3 linked regions of the Daphnia pulex genome follow. The protein of the gene in region 2 interacts with the protein of the main gene of each other region in a pairwise test. Links are inferred from orthologs where the notes say so. Each region holds a gene or a part of one and is shown on either strand. Other genes may lie near its edges.

Region 1 (5,723 bases), on a different chromosome or scaffold from region 2:
ATCTCGGCTTCTGAGCTGAGTATCTAAAAATCATGGTTTGAAGAGATACGCTATCCCATCATTTCAAAACAATTAGATTATTTTTAGGTGCAGCAGTTGACGAGAAAACTGCTGCACAAAAACCGAAATAGGTCGAAATTTCAGGCTACCCCCTGTAGTGTTTTTTTAATATCCCCAAACTACAATAGCTAATCAATTGCGGTTTTCACCAATCGACTAAGCGAAAAATTTAAAACAAACCCCCCCCCCCCCCAAATTTGTTAAATTTTAGATCCCCTAGCGATGATTTCCGCAAAATCAAAAACCCCCCAAATGGTCTGTTTGAGTTTCGGATGGCTTGTTAAAAAAGATGTCGAACAGCCCTAAACAGTATGGCACCTGTTTAGTGCCATAAGTAGCACCTAAATCTTCAACCTCATCCCAGCACCTCAACTCTCAACCTTAACCGAGCAACTTTCTATTTCCCAGCTGTTGTTAAGCTATCCAAAATGCTATGCTGACATCTAGCGAAGGGAGAATTAAGCGACGGCATCTAGAACACAGAGCGACGTTTCTCCATCATGTGGGCGCAAAACGCTAGCGCCCGTTTATTGTAAGTGGGAATCACGATTAATCCCGCTAACGATCTGCTTTATTGAATATCATTTTTACGTTCAATTTACGCTCACGCCGGGCAATTTGTTTTAGTGAACCTGACGTACTAAATAAAAATACGTTAGCGTAATTATTCGACGATACCCGTTGGCGCTAGTGTCCATGAGAGAGGGAGAAAACCCTCTCTATACACTCATTGGGGTTGTTTAATTCTCCCTCCGCTAGATGTCAGCATACTTTTTGGGAATATCTTCAAACTTAAAGTCAATATAATTTTACTTAAGCGTAAAAAAGTGTATTTTGTCCCTCCGTAACCTGTAGAATTATGAGAGAAAACGGAGGGACAAAATACACTTTTGTACGCTTAAGTAAAATTGTATTGACTTCAAGTTGTAAACTTGGTAGTCTTCTGAATCAGAAGGTAGATTTCTTAACGACGACTCAAGACAAATTTCTCCTCTTCCACATGGAGCTAGAAAATATGGTGCTTGGTGCAAGGTGCTGGGTTAAGATGCTGCTTATGGCACTAAAAACGTGCCGTACAATATATATATATATAGTGCCCTCTGGTCGCGGCATGGAAGGCTAGAGCCCCCACCCTATCCCCGTTTTGTGTGTATCTGTGGTCCGATTTTCGAGATTTATGGGATGGAAACAAAGTTGCCGTCCGATCAATTGTTTTTTAGTTGATCGCTGACCAACTTTTTCTGAGTTTGGTAGGTCACTCAAACCATAACCTGATAACCATGCTCAAACTCAAAATGAGTCGAGTTTCGCTTAATTTTTCGCGCTTAAATCATCGATCAACGTTTGCCTGGAATTTTTACCTTCCAGTGACATCTAGCGGTCAAACTTTGAAATCGATACACAATTGAAATAATAATTTGCCATTTTTCAATTAATAATATTTAAATTTTTTGTCTAGTTTTTTTTTCTTTTACTGTGTTTTACTGTTTAAACAAGAAAAATTCATAAATAATAATTTCATACAATTTTCGTAGTTTAAAATTTACCGCTTGACAGCGCCTGGAATCGATCGAATAAATTGAGCTTAAGCGAACTCAATTTTTTTTATCGTCGCTTATTTTAAGCTCAAACTCAGACAAAAGATTTGAGCGCCGATTAAAAGTTTGAGTTCGTGCTTAAGCGACGATCAACTCTTAAGTTCGATCGTCGTAAGATAAGTAAGAGTAAAAGTTTTTTTTTTACTATTTTTTCAATCTATTGAGTATTAAACGAACGGCATAAAGCGATACGGACGAGGAATCAAATTTAAGTTCCCTAATATATTCCAAACTGTCTGACTGTCTGTCTATAAGGAATGTGAAGCATTAGAATTGCCTTGCGATTCTGTACGGAATTGTCTCAGAATTCTCAGGTTTCTTTCAGGATTCCTTTTCAAAAAAGGTCTCCAGAAAAGGTTATTTTTGTGTTATCACTTGAAATCGCGGACTGCTTATTGGTAAAAAAAAACCTCAGATAACAAGGCAGTGAGTTATTCACAACATTTGTTTTGGGGCATGTAGTATTTTATAGTATTATAAGAGAAATTGTAAACCTTGATGTTGAAGGTATAAAACTTCGTTTAAGTGAGGAGTTTGGTATAAGCCGTGCTTTCTACAATGATTTCGAAGCCATTTTGCAGTAATTCTAGGATTGGAAAATTATGTTCCATTTAGTTTGGTATTCTATAATATTGTATTTTATCTTACCTTGGAAATATATTTTGTTCATCCTGCGAATCCGTGTAAACATTTCCAACTTTTTCCATGACGATTCTTACGGATTCTTAGGTCTTTCCGTCTCATGTATTTTCTCCCCTTATCGACCAAACTACTCTTCGTATACTTACCAGAAGGTGGCACGCCGCTCGCATTTATGACGTGTCGCTGTCACCAACGTTACGTTTTGAATTGATCACTGAAATAAAAAATTGAATTACTCTTTGCTACAGTACTATTTTTAAAGTAATTGCAATAGGATAACTATGTGGTCATTTTTCAGCCGAGATCCTTCCAAAGAGTTCGGTTATGAAATTCTGGAACAACTTACAGGAACAGAAGAATATATGCTATGGAAACTTCATAAAGGGAAGAAGAAGGTGAATTGACACTGCATAATTATCAAAGTTAAAGTTTGGTTATCTTCATGTTATGGAATTCCTCAGGGTTCTAGTGAGCCAGTATCTGTTTTCATCCTTGATGCTAAAACAAGTGGAAATGACACACAGATAGAACTTGCGAAAGCAGCTCTGAAAAGATTGAAAACACTCAGGCATCCAAACATTCTCACTTACATCGATAGTCTAGAGGTTATTCATTCATTCTTTTATAATAAAAAGATTGCTTACTTATTTTCATTTACTATTTAGACAGAAAAATGTTTGTATTTGGTAACTGAGTATGTTGAGCCCTTGCAGTTTTATTTGAACAGTTGTGCTACTGATTACCCTAAATCTAAACAACAAAAAGAATTATTTATAGCATGGGGACTTTTTCAAGTTGTGGTATGTTTTAAAGTGAAATTAAATAAGGAATGTAACCAAAGATTTTAAGTTCTTAACTATTTCCAGCGAGCCCTAACTTTCTTGAATAATGATGTGAATCTTCAACATAATTCTATCTGCCTTGGAAATATACTTGTAAACACCGCTGGAGGTAAATATCCAAGTTTTGCATGTTACATAATCTAGTTCCTGCATTCTAATTGTATTAACTATAACAGAATGGAAGCTTGGAGGTTTTGAAAATGCAACTCCATCATCTCAAATAAATTCTCTACCAATAAAAATACTACCTTCCTTTGAGAAATATGACCCACCTGAGAAAGTGGATTCATTGAAGCTTAAATTTGCTACCAAATGGTACTTGATTAGATTTTTTTTTTCTATCCTTTAAATATTTCCTTAAATTTTATGTTTGTGAAGGTCAGCCGACATGTGGGGTCTAGGATGCCTTATTTGGGAAGTGTTCAACGGTTCACTCAAATCCTCTTCCTCATTAAAAATTTTGGGCAATGTATGAAATTACATATTGTTGATTTAATTAATGAGTTAAATCATATTACTTTGATTATTTTTAATTAGATTCCAAAACTGTTAACATCAGTTTACTGTGAACTTGTAGGAGCAAATCCCAGTTCTCGCCCTAACCCCAGTGAAGTCCTTGTTATTTGTAGAAAGCCTGGAGGTTACTTCAATAATGATTTGGTTGAATGTCTCCTTTTTTTGGAAGAGATTCAAATTAAGGAAAGTAATGAGAAGACACAGTTTTTCAATAAGCTACCTTTACTGTTGGAAAGTTTTCCAGAGAACTTGGCAAGGTTAATTATACTTAATATATAAAAGACTGACAAAGTATTTTGAGTAACAGTTTTATGTTTACTATCAAACAGACACAAAGTTTTACCTCAACTTATTAATGCATTTGAATTTGGTAATGCTGGAGCAACTATTCTCACTCCTCTGTTTAAGGTGAGCAATATTAAATTAATGTGTTTATGCATACAGTACTTAAATACCTTCTCGTCATGTTTTTTCCCCAGTTAGGTAGCTTATTAACCGAAGAGGAATATCAAAAACGAATTGTTCCTTGTGTAGTCAAATTATTCTCGTCTCCTGACAGAGCAACTCGTGTCCGTTTGTTGCAGCAATTAGAACATTTTTCAGCTCATCTTCTTCCTGTCACTGTGAATGATAACATCTTTCCCCACATTTTGAGCGGATTTACAGACTCGAATCCAGTAATAAGAGAGCACACTGTTAAGGTATTTTATTATAAAATGATTGTTCAGTACTGTTGTATTTATTTTACTTTTATTAATATTGGAATTATCGCAATGCAGTCCATTATATCTTTAGCACCAAAACTGAATTATAATAATCTGAATGTGGAAGTTCTCAAGCACTTCGCGCGATTACAATCTAAAGATGAACAGGTAAATTTCTTCGCAAACAAATGAGGCTACGTGTGTTGAAAATTATTTTTTTTTTTTTTTTTTGCATTTAGGGCGGGATCCGTACCAATACTACAGTGTGCCTTGGAAAAGTCGCCTCTTATTTCCATCCTCAGATAAGGCAGAAAGTTCTGGTATCAGCTTTTACCAGGGCACTGAGGGATCCGTTTCCTCCTGCCCGAGTTGGAGGTAAAATATTCCATTCATTAGAAATAGATTTAGTAAACATAAAATTTTAAATAAAAATTTTTTCAGGCATATTAGCATTTGCAGCCACCCAACAATATTATCTGCTGAACCAAATCTCTAATCAAATTTTACCTGCCCTTTGTGTACTGACGGGTGATCCTGAAAGAGAAGTGCGCGATCAGGCCTTTAAAGTCGTTAAAGGTTTCCTATCAAAATTGGAAAAAGTATCGGAAGATCCTTCTCTTCGAGAATGCATGGGTACTATTAATTATTTATTTATTTTCAATTGCTATAACGGTGATTTTTAATTTTTATTATCTTGTTTAATGTTTTCCTGTAAACAGAGGCTGATGTAAATGCAAACGCTAGCCCAAATGTAACAGATATGGCATCAACATGGGCTGGTTGGGCAGTTAGTGCAGTCACATCAAAGTTCTACAAGTCTCAAAGCAGCCAAATATCTGATCAGTCTCCTGCTCTGCCAGCCAGCACTCAAGGACCAGCTGCTACAAGCAACCCAATAAGTTGTGATACAATTCCTGAAACATCGCATGAATTACGGAGGACTTCTTATACCGAATCCACCGACGAATCCGTGCAATGGGGAGACATGAATGTATTACGAAACGACTTGAATATTTTTGTCCGAGTATTTAACTTATCTACGTTTACGTTTTAGGAGCTTTCACTATCAAGCAAAAACCTTGTGGATGATAAGGGAGATGGCGATGGCGATGGCGATGGGTGGGACGTTCAAGATGATTGGGCGCCAATTGAAACTGTTGAGCAAGATTCCTTTGGCCCAAGCATGACCACCGCGCGTTCTAAAGATTCCGTATTAATGGTAAATGCATATAAAAATTTGTAATTGTACTTCTAAAACTTTTACAATTTTATAGAGAAATCCATTCGGAAGTTAAATTTTCCTAAGACAGTATAATTATTATCTTAGTTTTTTATAGCTTTTTTTTTTAATGATTCCCATT
Region 2 (5,767 bases):
TTGGATCCCATTTTAGAATAGCGTAATGAGGCGATGAAGGAAGAATTAATATTTAATTTTAATTAACATTTCTTATCTTAAATAGCCCATTTAAAAATGGGTAACTTTTAAATCTAAGTACCAAAAGCTTTGAATGTTCTCCGGTAGAAGGCTCTGATGATGAACAACATTGATGTGATTAAAATTTTGTTTTTATCTGACTTCCTACTAGTTAAATTTTGATTGCAAAATATCTTATATTCCTGTCTGAATATAAAGATGACCAATGTGATGGAAACACCATACGCAGCAGTGCACCCCATCTACTATCAAACCAAACCAATTCGTATCTAAATTGCTGTGAACTCGTGATGGTGTGCGATCAAATGTTATGGTCTGAATGCCTTTTTCAATTTCGTGATATACGTGTAATCTGGTTAGCTAAATTAATATTATACGCAGAACATGCAATCTTTGTCCAGTCAAGAATTCCAGGATGTCTATAAATGGGAAGAAAGAGAAGATGGAGAATTAACAGATTTCAGTACTGAAATGGAAGACGGGGAACTTTCAGATTCCAGTTTCACCAAACTGGACACAAGTCACACAACAGTGGGAAAAGAAGTCATGGAATATACTTGCTTAGTCCCAAAAATTCCCGAAAAGGAAGCAGTGGGTCACTTTATTGGCGGGAATAAAAACAAAGGACGACTGTTTGACTACTATGTTATAATTGACTTTGAAGGAACTTGTGGAGTTCTAAAAAACCCAAGACATATCAAGTAAATTTATAATTTTTTTTCCACCATTCAGAATTATCCACACCAAGTTTTTCTTTTTCAGAGGTGGAATACAAGAAATAATTGAATTCCCTGCCATTTTACTAAATGGTCACAATGGACTCATTGAAGATGAATTCCAATCCTTCTGCAGACCAGTTCTTAACCCTTCATTGACAAATTTTTGTAAAAAATTTACAGGAATCACACAGGTTCGTTATTTTGTAAATGTTCCATTTCCGGCATTTGGAGCCTACAACTGAACAGTTCGTGATTCAAATGTATATTCCATATTTATTTTTGTCCTTGTGTAGGATGCTGTTGACAAAGCTCCTTTATTCAATGAAGTATTTGTCTTATTTGAAGAATGGTTGCAGAAAAACCAAGTTATTGGTTCCAACTATTCATTCGCGGTTGTGACCGATGGACCTGACGACATTCGTCAATTTTTACAGAAGCAGTGTAAGGTGAGTTTTAGTGTAAGTACGATTACATCGTCGTCCTACAGTTAACCACTCACATTTCTTTCGTTTTTTTTTTTTCTTTTCGTTGCTGTTTTGTTGTTTTATTTAGATTTCAGCAATAGATTTTCCAACGTACTGTAAGAACTGGATAAATATTAAGAAAACTTTCGCTCGTTTCTACAAAAATGGCAATATGCAATGTCTGTCCCTAAAAAATATGATTCGGGATATTGGATGTGAATTTCAAGGAAGAGCTCATAGCGGCATAGATGATGCCCGAAATATTGCTTCAATTGTTCAACGTCTTTTGACGGACGGAGCGCGCGTTACGTTCAATGAAAAGTTAGTTGTCAATCGGGCCCAGAAACGTAAAATAAGGCAGAATTCTACAAATACCAACCCAACCACACAAGCTAACCCAGTTAAAAAAAGGAATTTGAAAGTTCAAACTGCCGTAAAGAAGGCAAAGACAAAAAATCCTGCCAAGAAGACGGTTCCTGCCTTAAAAGGTTCAATTACAAAAAATGATGTCAAACATGAGCAAATTAAATCCAAGAAGAACCGGAAAAGAAACGCAAAACGTCCAAACAAGAAGGAACAAGTACATGCCAAGGGTTTAAAAACTGCAGATAATTTAACAAATACCAAACAAATAAGGGAGAAATTAAAACTTGCTGCAAAAAATGTTAGAAATCTTAGGAAAAGGTTGAAATCTGCCCTACATCAGGAAAATATTTGCAGTCCCATTTTACCATAAGGTAACTAGGGCACGGAAATCCAAATAAATAAACATTCGGCTTTTCGCTTATTGTTTTGAACAGGAAAATCCAGATCCCAGCAACAACGAATTTCGTTTTACAAAACTACAGCGCTGCGGTGCGCTACTAACCAACAGGCAAAAGCAACATTTGAACAGTAAATTTTTAGCTATGGTTTCCGTTTTCCAAAAACTGTTCGACCACTTATTCATAAATACATATATAACTTTATATCTTACTTATATAACTTTACCCTTGAGTCCTTTCCTTTATTGCTGTGCAAGTTGATTAAAAATTCTGCATTTTCTTTTGTTGAGATATTGAGTTGGAGTAAAAGCTTTGCATGATCTCCGCTAGAAGGCTCCGATCATGATGTGTCACTCGGAAAAGGTAAATAAACTTTGAAGTAGCAAAACTGAATTATTAAAAAATGGCCACTCCGTGGTCTGGTTTTTCGCTTGAAGATCAGGCAAAAATCAAATCTGAATTGGATATTAAACGTGACGCAAGTAAGCACTTAATTTCTGAGAAATTTTGTATTGATTATATATGTAATGTAAATTGGCTGTAGAGAATGAAACAGACAGTGCCTTGCAGACTGCCGACGAGAACAAGGAAGCAAAATCGATAGTGATGCAGAAAAAAAACAAAGTCAACCCAAAGAAAACATCACATTCTACCATGTCTTCCTGTCACACAAATGATCTCCCTAATGAGGCTATGTTATCAGCTAAACCCAAACAGGTTAAATTTTAATATTTAAGATAAGCCTCAGCAAGCCTCATAGTATAGTATAGCACAAACTATAATTAAAACTAATGTGTTTTCTAGGAAAAGGTGCCTGAATCTCCAGTTCATGTTAAACTAAGAATTTCAGAAGATAAACCTACCTCATTTGAGATCATGGAAGCAGCACCTCTTGAAAATGGCATAATAAATGATCAAGGAAGCGATGAATCACAAAATGCCAGTGATGAAGGGCATGAATCAACTTGTTGCCAGCCTCCAAATTCCACACTCTCTGTGGATTTGCTTCAAAATGGGGGGAAAAAGGATCCTGTTAATCTGGATGAATTTGAAAAGAAACAAAAGCTCATTGAAGAACAAAATCGTCTAAAAAAGCAGATGCTGGCAAAAGCTTTGGCCCTTAGGTTTGTATTTTCAGTTTAAGATTTATATAAAATTATTTCCTTGGCTGATTTTCAGTTGTTTATGCAATATGACAGAAAAATGAAGACTCAAGCTGAAGCACTGAAGATACACCAAATTCAAGAAGAGCTTTCCAAACTTGATGCAAACTTGAGCAATGATGTTTGCATTTTGAGAAGCCATATTGAAATAGCAAGTGTGGAGCTGTCGGAAGCTGAGTAAAAGAATAAGTCGTTAAACACCCATCTACGGTACCGAATAAAACTGTTAGTTTTTTTTTTTTTTTTTTTTTAATCAGGAAACGCTATACGAAGGCTGAACGTGAATTCGTCGAAGCTAAGCAGTTACTCTTCAACAAAAGAGAACGCAAAGATCTATTAACTGAGCATCTCTGTACTATTATTGAGCAAAATGAGATGCGAAAAGCACATCGTCTCACTGACTTGATGATTCAATTAGACGACGAAGATCATCGAGCAGAAACACTACCTGCCGGTAACCGGGTAATGAAACTAGGCTACTATATGCGATTTGAAAACCATGAAGAAAGATTAATGGGTCAAACTTTTTTAGCTCATAGATCCAGTGACGATTGATGAAGTTTGAAATTACGAATCATGCAGCTTTAGGAATCTCTTCACTATGCGTGCCTTACTTAAATTGCCTTTTATTATGAATCATAATCATTCACTAATCATTTCACCTGAATGTTGTTGCTACTTTTTATGACTTTAGGATTTTATTTGATATTTTTAAATATTATTGATTATTGCACATCTCACTTAACCAAAAATACACAACGAACCATTTACAGTATTGGACTCTGAGGTTGAAGCACTCAGTTGTTATTCCAATGTTAAGGGAGAAAATATTGAAAAGAAAAATTCACAGTCTAGAATAAATGCGAGCTGTTTCATTGCAGATCTAGTTCGAGCTTTCCCAGGTATGCGTTATTTATGTATGACCAGTTAACGAGCATACCAAACCAAGTCCACTCATTATTTTATTTTCTCATTTGCGTAGGTACCTTTCTTGGAAACAAACTCAACTTTGAAGTTTAGAATAGTTGGAATGAGGAAATTTAATTCTTGGATGATGGGAATGGGATGCATCTTTAAAGCGTATGGGTATGTTACTTTACTGTTTATTTCTCTGATACCATGGTGACCGATCCTCACCCTGGTCTGGATGTTAAGCGCAGCGTTAGTAACCAAACATGGAAGGCCAAAGCTAATATTTAATTCAAAAGCTCATCGAATATGAAAGATACGATCAAATGGAATCATCGACTATCCTACCTAGTGGTCTTTGTTTTCGATTCTGTTGATGTCCACCAGCTGCTGTGTTTCCTGGGCAACCGACCGAGAATGAGCGGCTATTTAACGGCAGTGCGGGAGCGCAAATTCAACAATCTCGACCTGACGTCCTAGATAAACACACGCAACTAACCCAACTACGGTATTCATACTGCTTGAAATGGACCACAAAGATCATCACCACCAAACTGTAGCTCATGGAAAAAAGGGTCACGAACACACTGATTCGAAGCACCAGGCTGAAGAAAACCAAGCTCCGCGTGCTGGTTTCCAGCTTGGTCAGGTAGAAATGTGTTTTTGATTTTAGAAATTTTTTCCCTTCTTCTATTGAAAATGTTTGTTAAATTGAGTAGACGGCGGCCGGCTTTGGGACCAACAAAACTTCTGAGCTTTCGACTTTCGCCAATACGAAAGACTTCGAGGATTTGGAAGCTGAATCACGCAGCAACAGCGGACACGAGCATGAAGAGCACGGTGAGCACGACCACGAAGATGACAAAGAAGACCACCACGCTAAAAAATAAAACAAAGGCGACCAACTGGTGATCTTCGCAATCATCTTTTGAATCATTTTTGGCTGTATGTGCTAAAATTCATTGAATGTTTATAGTTTTCGAAAAAAATTTGTTTGCTTCTATATATCTCACTTATTTGCCGCTGCTTATTAATCAACCATTGATTTTGCTTATAGTTGTGTTTTAACTGGTCCTATTTAGAAGAATTGCACCCCTTGTTTCATTCATAATCGGAAAATAAATTGGGATTAACTCAGCAATTCCACAGACGAACATATTTATTATTGTCATTTAAGAAATCAAGAAAATGAAAAATTGAAATTGATAGTATCATTGTGGTTAACAATACTTTTCTGAAAAGAACTGGTGCCGTTGCAAGTTGCTTGAGGAAGTTGTGGTAGTTGTCCCTTGAACTGTCGGATTATTGGATCTGCAAATAAAGAAATTCTTCTTCTCTTTTGCTAAATTAAAACGGACAAAGTTCCAACAGCCATTGGTGCTGCCTTGCTTTGGGCCCCGCAAGCCATGGTTTCCGTATAGCTTTTCAATAAAATACGTTGTTTCAGCTTCGGAGTTTTGCTGATCTTTTGTCCATAAAGCTTGATTTTCTTCAAAGTTATCCTGTATGTCACATCCGTTTTCTTCAATGATTTTATTGGCTTTCAAAACAACAGCTTCTCTTGAATCGGAGAAAAACGAAGCCGGCCTTGCGTACATGAATGGCCCTCCAAAAAGAAAAGTCTCGTTTATCCAGATCGAAAGTTGCTGTTCCTCGGCGTTGTTTCTAGCGTTTAAATAGCAGTCAAG
Region 3 (5,792 bases), about 450 kb from region 2:
CGTCCAACAACCTATTCCAAATGAGTCTGATTCGGATGAAGTTTCGATTACATCTATAAGGTCCATTTATAAGAAAACATCAAACGAAGAATCGGAAGAAGAAATGGCACCCCCTACGAAAAAATGCCGGAAAGGGAAAGCCACCGAATCTCGAGTGTCTACAAGAGGTCGAAAGACGGCTACTGGATCACGAACGCAAAAGAAGAAAGTTCAGCCTATTGATTCTGACAACGAACAACCAGAAAGTCAAGAAAAAGATGCTGTGGAACAAGCAAATAGTTCGAAGAATGCTAACCCTGCTGCTCCAATTTCAAATAATCCACTCCACTGTAAGAAAACAGTGAGCATCCAAGAACCAAATCCGAATGAGTCTGATTCGGATGTAGTTTCAATTGAATCTATCAGGTCGGATAAGAAAACAACAAACGAAGAATCTGGAGAAGAGATAGCACCCCCTGCGAAAAAAGGCCGGAAGGGGAAAGCCACTGAATCTCGAGTGTCTACAAGAGCTCGAAAGACGGCTATTGGATCCCGATCTGGTAAAATAACGCGACGAAAGAATGTAAAGCCTCTTGATTATGACGACGAACAACCAGCAAACCCAACTGAGAATGATGCTTTGGAACCAGCAAATTGTTCGAAGGATGCTAACCCTACTGCTCCAAATTCAAATATTCCACTCGACAGTTTGCTGAATTCTCCCCTTGGACAAATTGGTTTAGAACAAGGTGGGTTAACCGTCGTTGAAGTTCCTGGAACTCCTAACCAGGCTCCATCTTTTCTAGTCCCTCCAGCTCTTGCAGAAGCCAATCCCGCGTTTGCTCAAGCTGAACCCGGTAGTTTAGTGTTGGTGGCAGAACCCAATCCCGGAGATCCTAATAATCAATTGGTACATGTATACCGTATAGCCGAACCGTTTGAACCGGTCTCCTAATAAGATCCCCTACGCATTTTGCCCAATCCTTCACTGTTAATTTTTTTTTTGTGTGTGCGTGTGTATGTTGTTGCCATCCAGAATTAAATAACGATCTAATTACTGCTTAAGGCCAGTGAATAAGGTAACAACGTATATTTATACAGAATTGTTATTTGAAAATGTTCAGAAGGTACATTCCACATAGAATTGAAGAGAAGTGCTTAATCAATTGTAATAATATGACATGTAAAATTACAAGAAACTCACAAGCTGCACAGAAGAATCTTCATAATTTCGGATATGAACTTTTCTGGCAGTGTCCATTTTCAAACTACTCGAGGAGTCATTTCTAAATGTTACCCATTGTTTTTGTCTGATGTTTTTTTTTACTCACTACGGTGCATTACAATATGACGGCAATTTAGCCACTGCAACGAGGTAAGGGCAACAAAACAGGTATCAAACATCAGCAGGATGGCTGACGGGGTACGAGTAACTTGAACGATAAGAAAAAAATTCACAAAACCTTTCGATCCAATTTCACGAACAGGCTCCAGATGCCTACCGCCGAATAAGGTGGAAGATTCACGGATGAAAATTTAAAAGCCTTTAAAATACAAACTCGACCATTTAGTAGATGGCCAATAAAATTATTGCATGTCAACAGAATAAAACCGCCGTCCAAGTAAATGACAAACAACATCCTATTCCCTTGATAATCATGGCCATTTATTCCGAGTTAGGAGATTGTTCTCTGACTGCTTAAAAAAAAAGAGAAAAAGTTGATTTGTGGTACGCAGTTCCTCTAGATTAATAAAATTATAATTACCAGGTCTATTAACAGGACCACCGCTTCTGCACGTATTGTACGATCCACATGGTGCATTTTGGCACTTCGCTCCAAGGGGATGCATTGGAACTTCAGAAAACTGCAAAAAAATTGTTAATTATAATAACATTTTAAAAACTCTTTAGTGCCGAGAAATGACTAACCTGATGGCAGTCGTTACATAAAATCGTGACAAAAAAATTTTGATATTCCACTGGCATTGGGGTTGAGGCAATTTCATCGTCTAAAATGCGCCAGTACTAGAATGGAAACACAATTGGTAACGTTATAATTCGTTTTATAAATTTAAATTTTAGTACCGATTCCATCGGCATCATTGAACGTTGACAAACTGGGCAGGCATAGTGACCACGATGAATAAATGAATTGAAACATGTTCGGTGAATCAGATGACCACATGATGGGATGTGTGAAGGAATTCTTGATGTATGAATATCCTCCAAACAAATTGGGCAATTTGTTCGGCTCATCTTTTCAACGCACTGTAACAGAGCAAAAATAACTAATTGAATGAACTAAAAACCAAAATAATTTATGTATAAATTAGAATCCCACAAAAATGCTTACTCTATGCTGATTTTCAAGTTTTTTTGGTAAGCACATATCACATGTTTGGCAGTGGAAAAACTTGTCCCTTCCTCCGACTCTACATATTCCTGAAAAAGTAAGATATAGGAGTTGTCACCAAAGATTAAATATAATTGGTTTTAAAATGTAATAATAATTACCACATCCTTCACAGTGATACTGCTTTTTATCTTCATCATCAATCAACTTGCACTTTCCACAAAAATACTGCAAAACAAAATCAAGGTTTCTTTATTTTGAAAAAAAAAAGAAAAGAAAAAAGTCTGATACTTTACCTGTCCAAAGAGGATACCACAATTGGAACAGTTTTGTTGAACTGGTTGTTTTGTTTCACACAATGAACACATAATTTCATCCACATTTTTTCGGTTAAGGGTGTGTTCCTCCTTCTCATCATGACAAAAACGGCAAGTATAAACTTTGTCACAGCATGGTGTCTACAAAACAAAATTATTGTTTAGTAAAATAATAAATAATTAAGTATTTAACTTCTCAATACAACTTTAAACAGGATTACTATAAAACCGCATTATCTTCACGAGGAGATATCATGGTCATTTTTCAGACATTGTGCCCACAGTTATTTCCCGACCAACTTGAGTTACAACATTACTTGGTTAAGAACAAAGTGTCGAACTACTTACCACTAATTTGCATTTTCGTTTATAATGTTCGCAACCGTATTCGACATTCTCCTCAGCCATTTTATCTCCTCCACCTATTCCAACGAGTCAGTATCTGGCAGTGTGTGTACACAGTGTAAAAGAAAACACGAGTTTCGGCCAGTTAGTGTACAGCGTGTAGGTTTGGGCTTAGCCTAGCGGCATGAACATGAACTATGTTGGGTCGACTTCTTTCCGAAAATTCCTAACTTCCCACGTTTGTCTTGTTTGTGCAGCAATTTATTTAAAAACTAATTTCCCAATGGAATCCAGAGTAACCAGCAAGTTAATTTTCATCCAATTTTCTCATCTCTAATCTTTAATTGGTTAATCACGAACTTAAATTTGTTGTGACGAGATGTCGCTAGCTCCCTTCCTTGTCCTTTCTAAAAGCGGTTCTTCAAAATCAAAACACTCGAATGTTGCCATACTGTTTTATACAGTCTATCGGAGTGCATGTTTTGAAATATTAATGGACTTAAGGCCGGGGACCGGGGTAAGGTAGGAGAAAAGGAGGAAAGGAGAAAATCGAAGAAATTTTTTTTTACGTTCAAATTGAGAAAAATATGCAAATGACCCTACCTATTGAAAGGGCAGCAAGGTCCTTGAAAAACTTAGTTGTTCTCGTGCGGCCCACGAGGTCGGATGCTCAACAATTTGGCAGTAGAATTTGAAAGTGTGTATAGCGCGACTGTGAACTCTGACTGAATAATTATTGCCATAATCATTTCCTGTGATTGTGAATTGTGAATCATCGATCTCGTAAGCAGTTGAAAAGAACATTGCCGAACAATTGGGGACAAAACACCATAATCGACCAAACCGCCGACCCTCAACATGATAACATCAAATCCCACGTGTGACCATTACGAAGGTAGGAAAAAACACTTAAACGACTTTTTTTGCGAGGTTGTGCATACTCTGGTAATTTAATTTTCTATGAAATGTACGAAAGATTGTAAGCCAATGTGACCTGTTGCACATAAATAGCTGCGACAATTGAAGATTTTTTACTTATTCACGAAAACTTTTTTTAATGTCGACCTTGTCATCCCCTTTTCCTTCTCTCGCATGGAGATTATAGTAGCATTGCAAATTTTTAAGATTTTGTTGGGTAAATTTGTTTAGAAGGCCTTCAATTTCAATTCATGTGCGTTTTTTTATTCGACGAGAAAGATAAGTGACCCACGTGTTACAGACCGTTGGCTGTAGGTTATCAGATGAGGAGCGCAGCGTCATTATCGATCAATTTATACTCTCATTTTCTTTCTTTGGAAGACATTTTTATTTGAACCCGCAACTTTCAAAGAATTGGAACACGAGTCTTTTTATTGATAGAACGTTCGAAATATCCACTCAATCAAACCAAATACAATTACTGACAAAATCTGACTCCCAAGTCCCAACCCCGTTAGTCTTTTGATTTTTTCAAATTTCCGAATATAATGGCATTCTTGAATTTCTTGGGGTTTCGGATGCCGTACGCTTTGAGGCGATCGTCAGTTATGTCAAAACCACGAATGGTGGCCGATTTCTTATTAGCTGTTGTTTCAGTTGCGTTTTTGTTTTTCTTCTTCTTTTTCTTCTGTTTCTTTCCTTCATTAACAGAAGACGATCCGGCCTTCTGATCCTCCTCTTGTGCCAACAATTTCTTAGCTTGTTTCTTCTTTTTTTTCTTTTTGGGAGAGTTTTCTGTGCAAGTGACCTCACTCTTCTTTCCAGTTGAATCGATTTCCATTTTAAAATCCTTGCTTGGTGAAACTGCTTTCTCAGGGATGACAGGAGGATTCGAAACCGTAGCTACCGCCATTTCCGACAAGTTCTTCTTCTTCTTTTTCTTCTTCTTTTTTTCAGGATTCTCGTTGCCTTTGACCAGTTCGGTAGCTAAAGGAATTTCATTTTCCACTTGAGGTTTTTCAGCTTTTAACTTCTTTGGTTTGGGCTGTTCATGTTCTGAAGCCACTGAAACATTTCCAGCATCGTCGGTATTGTCTTTCCTCCTCTTGTGTGCGACTTCATTAGTTTTCCTACGTGAAAAGAAAAAAGAGCTATTGAAGAAGAGCTCTCAGTTTCAAGTGAAAATGTGTACTTACTTGGAATGATTTGGTTCAGTTATCTGAGAAAAATCATTCACTTGGGTAAACGGTTCATCTTTTCCCTTGTTTTTCCTCTTCTTTTTCTTTGGCACTGTTTCCTCTTGGATTTCTTGATGATCAATTTCAGGATATCTGTGTGAATCATTATTATAATTATTTTTATTAAAAGGGCTCAACAAAAAACGTATTCTAAAATCATTTTAACTTACGGAATGGGTTGGGATTCAGGATCTTCGTCTTTGCCTTGATTCCTTCTCCGCTTTTTTCGATCTTTTTCTTGATCGGCTACCATTAATGCCTCTGAATTTCTAAAGAATCGCAATGCGTTTTTAGAAATCATTTCAATTGTTCAAAACTAAACGAGAAACTTCAACTTACTCGGCGAAAACCGAAGGTAGAACTCGTTTCTTTAAAGAAACGTTTTTCTTTTTCGTGATGTATGTATAATAGTCATTCATTTCTTCTCTTTCAGTTCTGTACTGTGACATTTTTTTCACAGAACACCACTGATTAAGTTCTTTTTCTCTTGCAACGAGGATCTAAATTGTAAATTAATTCGTTATAACTGAATGTTGCACAAGTTTTTTTTTGAATACCTCTTCTACATCCAAACCAAAATCATTTTCGACAACTGTCCTGTATTTGAATCGAACAGGTTGGTCACCGATTATATCCTCGTA

The links.
Region 1: the proteins of RAB6-interacting golgin-like (region 2) and N-terminal kinase-like protein interact in a two-hybrid assay, tested with the Homo sapiens proteins (2 studies listed by BioGRID and IntAct). The link is inferred for Daphnia pulex from reciprocal best matches to the Homo sapiens genes GORAB and SCYL1.
Region 3: the proteins of RAB6-interacting golgin-like (region 2) and RING finger and CHY zinc finger domain-containing protein 1-like interact in a two-hybrid assay, tested with the Homo sapiens proteins (3 studies listed by BioGRID and IntAct). The link is inferred for Daphnia pulex from reciprocal best matches to the Homo sapiens genes GORAB and RCHY1.

The regions. Positions count from the first base shown.
Region 1 is NC_060028.1:3,727,225-3,732,947, forward strand, and holds the start of N-terminal kinase-like protein, read left to right. Parts: upstream 1-2,441; 5' UTR 2,442-2,581; coding exon 2,582-2,695; intron 2,696-2,761; coding exon 2,762-2,905; intron 2,906-2,965; coding exon 2,966-3,100; intron 3,101-3,166; coding exon 3,167-3,251; intron 3,252-3,318; coding exon 3,319-3,457; intron 3,458-3,520; coding exon 3,521-3,611; intron 3,612-3,679; coding exon 3,680-3,915; intron 3,916-3,987; coding exon 3,988-4,066; intron 4,067-4,137; coding exon 4,138-4,359; intron 4,360-4,437; coding exon 4,438-4,530; intron 4,531-4,601; coding exon 4,602-4,737; intron 4,738-4,803; coding exon 4,804-4,995; intron 4,996-5,081; coding exon 5,082-5,353; intron 5,354-5,416; coding exon 5,417-5,581; intron 5,582-5,723. Other genes in the region: dynein axonemal assembly factor 1-like, read right to left, coding at 2,153-2,244, 2,307-2,365. UniProt on the Homo sapiens protein: Regulates COPI-mediated retrograde protein traffic at the interface between the Golgi apparatus and the endoplasmic reticulum. Involved in the maintenance of the Golgi apparatus morphology.
Region 2 is NC_060018.1:3,992,707-3,998,473, reverse strand, and holds RAB6-interacting golgin-like, read left to right. Parts: upstream 1-2,329; 5' UTR 2,330-2,410; coding exon 2,411-2,489; intron 2,490-2,551; coding exon 2,552-2,724; intron 2,725-2,811; coding exon 2,812-3,131; intron 3,132-3,206; coding exon 3,207-3,347; intron 3,348-3,427; coding exon 3,428-3,632; intron 3,633-3,702; coding exon 3,703-3,735; 3' UTR 3,736-4,087; intron 4,088-4,152; 3' UTR 4,153-4,256; exon of another isoform or gene 4,257-4,325; 3' UTR 4,326-4,728; intron 4,729-4,798; 3' UTR 4,799-5,220; downstream 5,221-5,767. Other genes in the region: ERI1 exoribonuclease 2-like, read left to right, coding at 371-373, 442-761, 823-970, 1,073-1,225, 1,332-1,979.
Region 3 is NC_060018.1:4,446,057-4,451,848, reverse strand, and holds RING finger and CHY zinc finger domain-containing protein 1-like, read right to left. Parts: upstream 3,161-5,792; 5' UTR 3,059-3,160; coding exon 2,999-3,058; intron 2,792-2,998; coding exon 2,630-2,791; intron 2,562-2,629; coding exon 2,495-2,561; intron 2,423-2,494; coding exon 2,334-2,422; intron 2,249-2,333; coding exon 2,066-2,248; intron 2,006-2,065; coding exon 1,910-2,005; intron 1,846-1,909; coding exon 1,746-1,845; intron 1,678-1,745; coding exon 1,646-1,677; 3' UTR 1,055-1,645; downstream 1-1,054. Other genes in the region: transcription factor TFIIIB component B'' homolog, read left to right, coding at 1-934; protein KRI1 homolog, read right to left, coding at 4,428-5,043, 5,110-5,244, 5,322-5,420, 5,491-5,651, 5,709-5,792. UniProt on the Homo sapiens protein: E3 ubiquitin-protein ligase that mediates ubiquitination of target proteins, including p53/TP53, TP73, HDAC1 and CDKN1B. Mediates ubiquitination and degradation of p53/TP53; preferentially acts on tetrameric p53/TP53.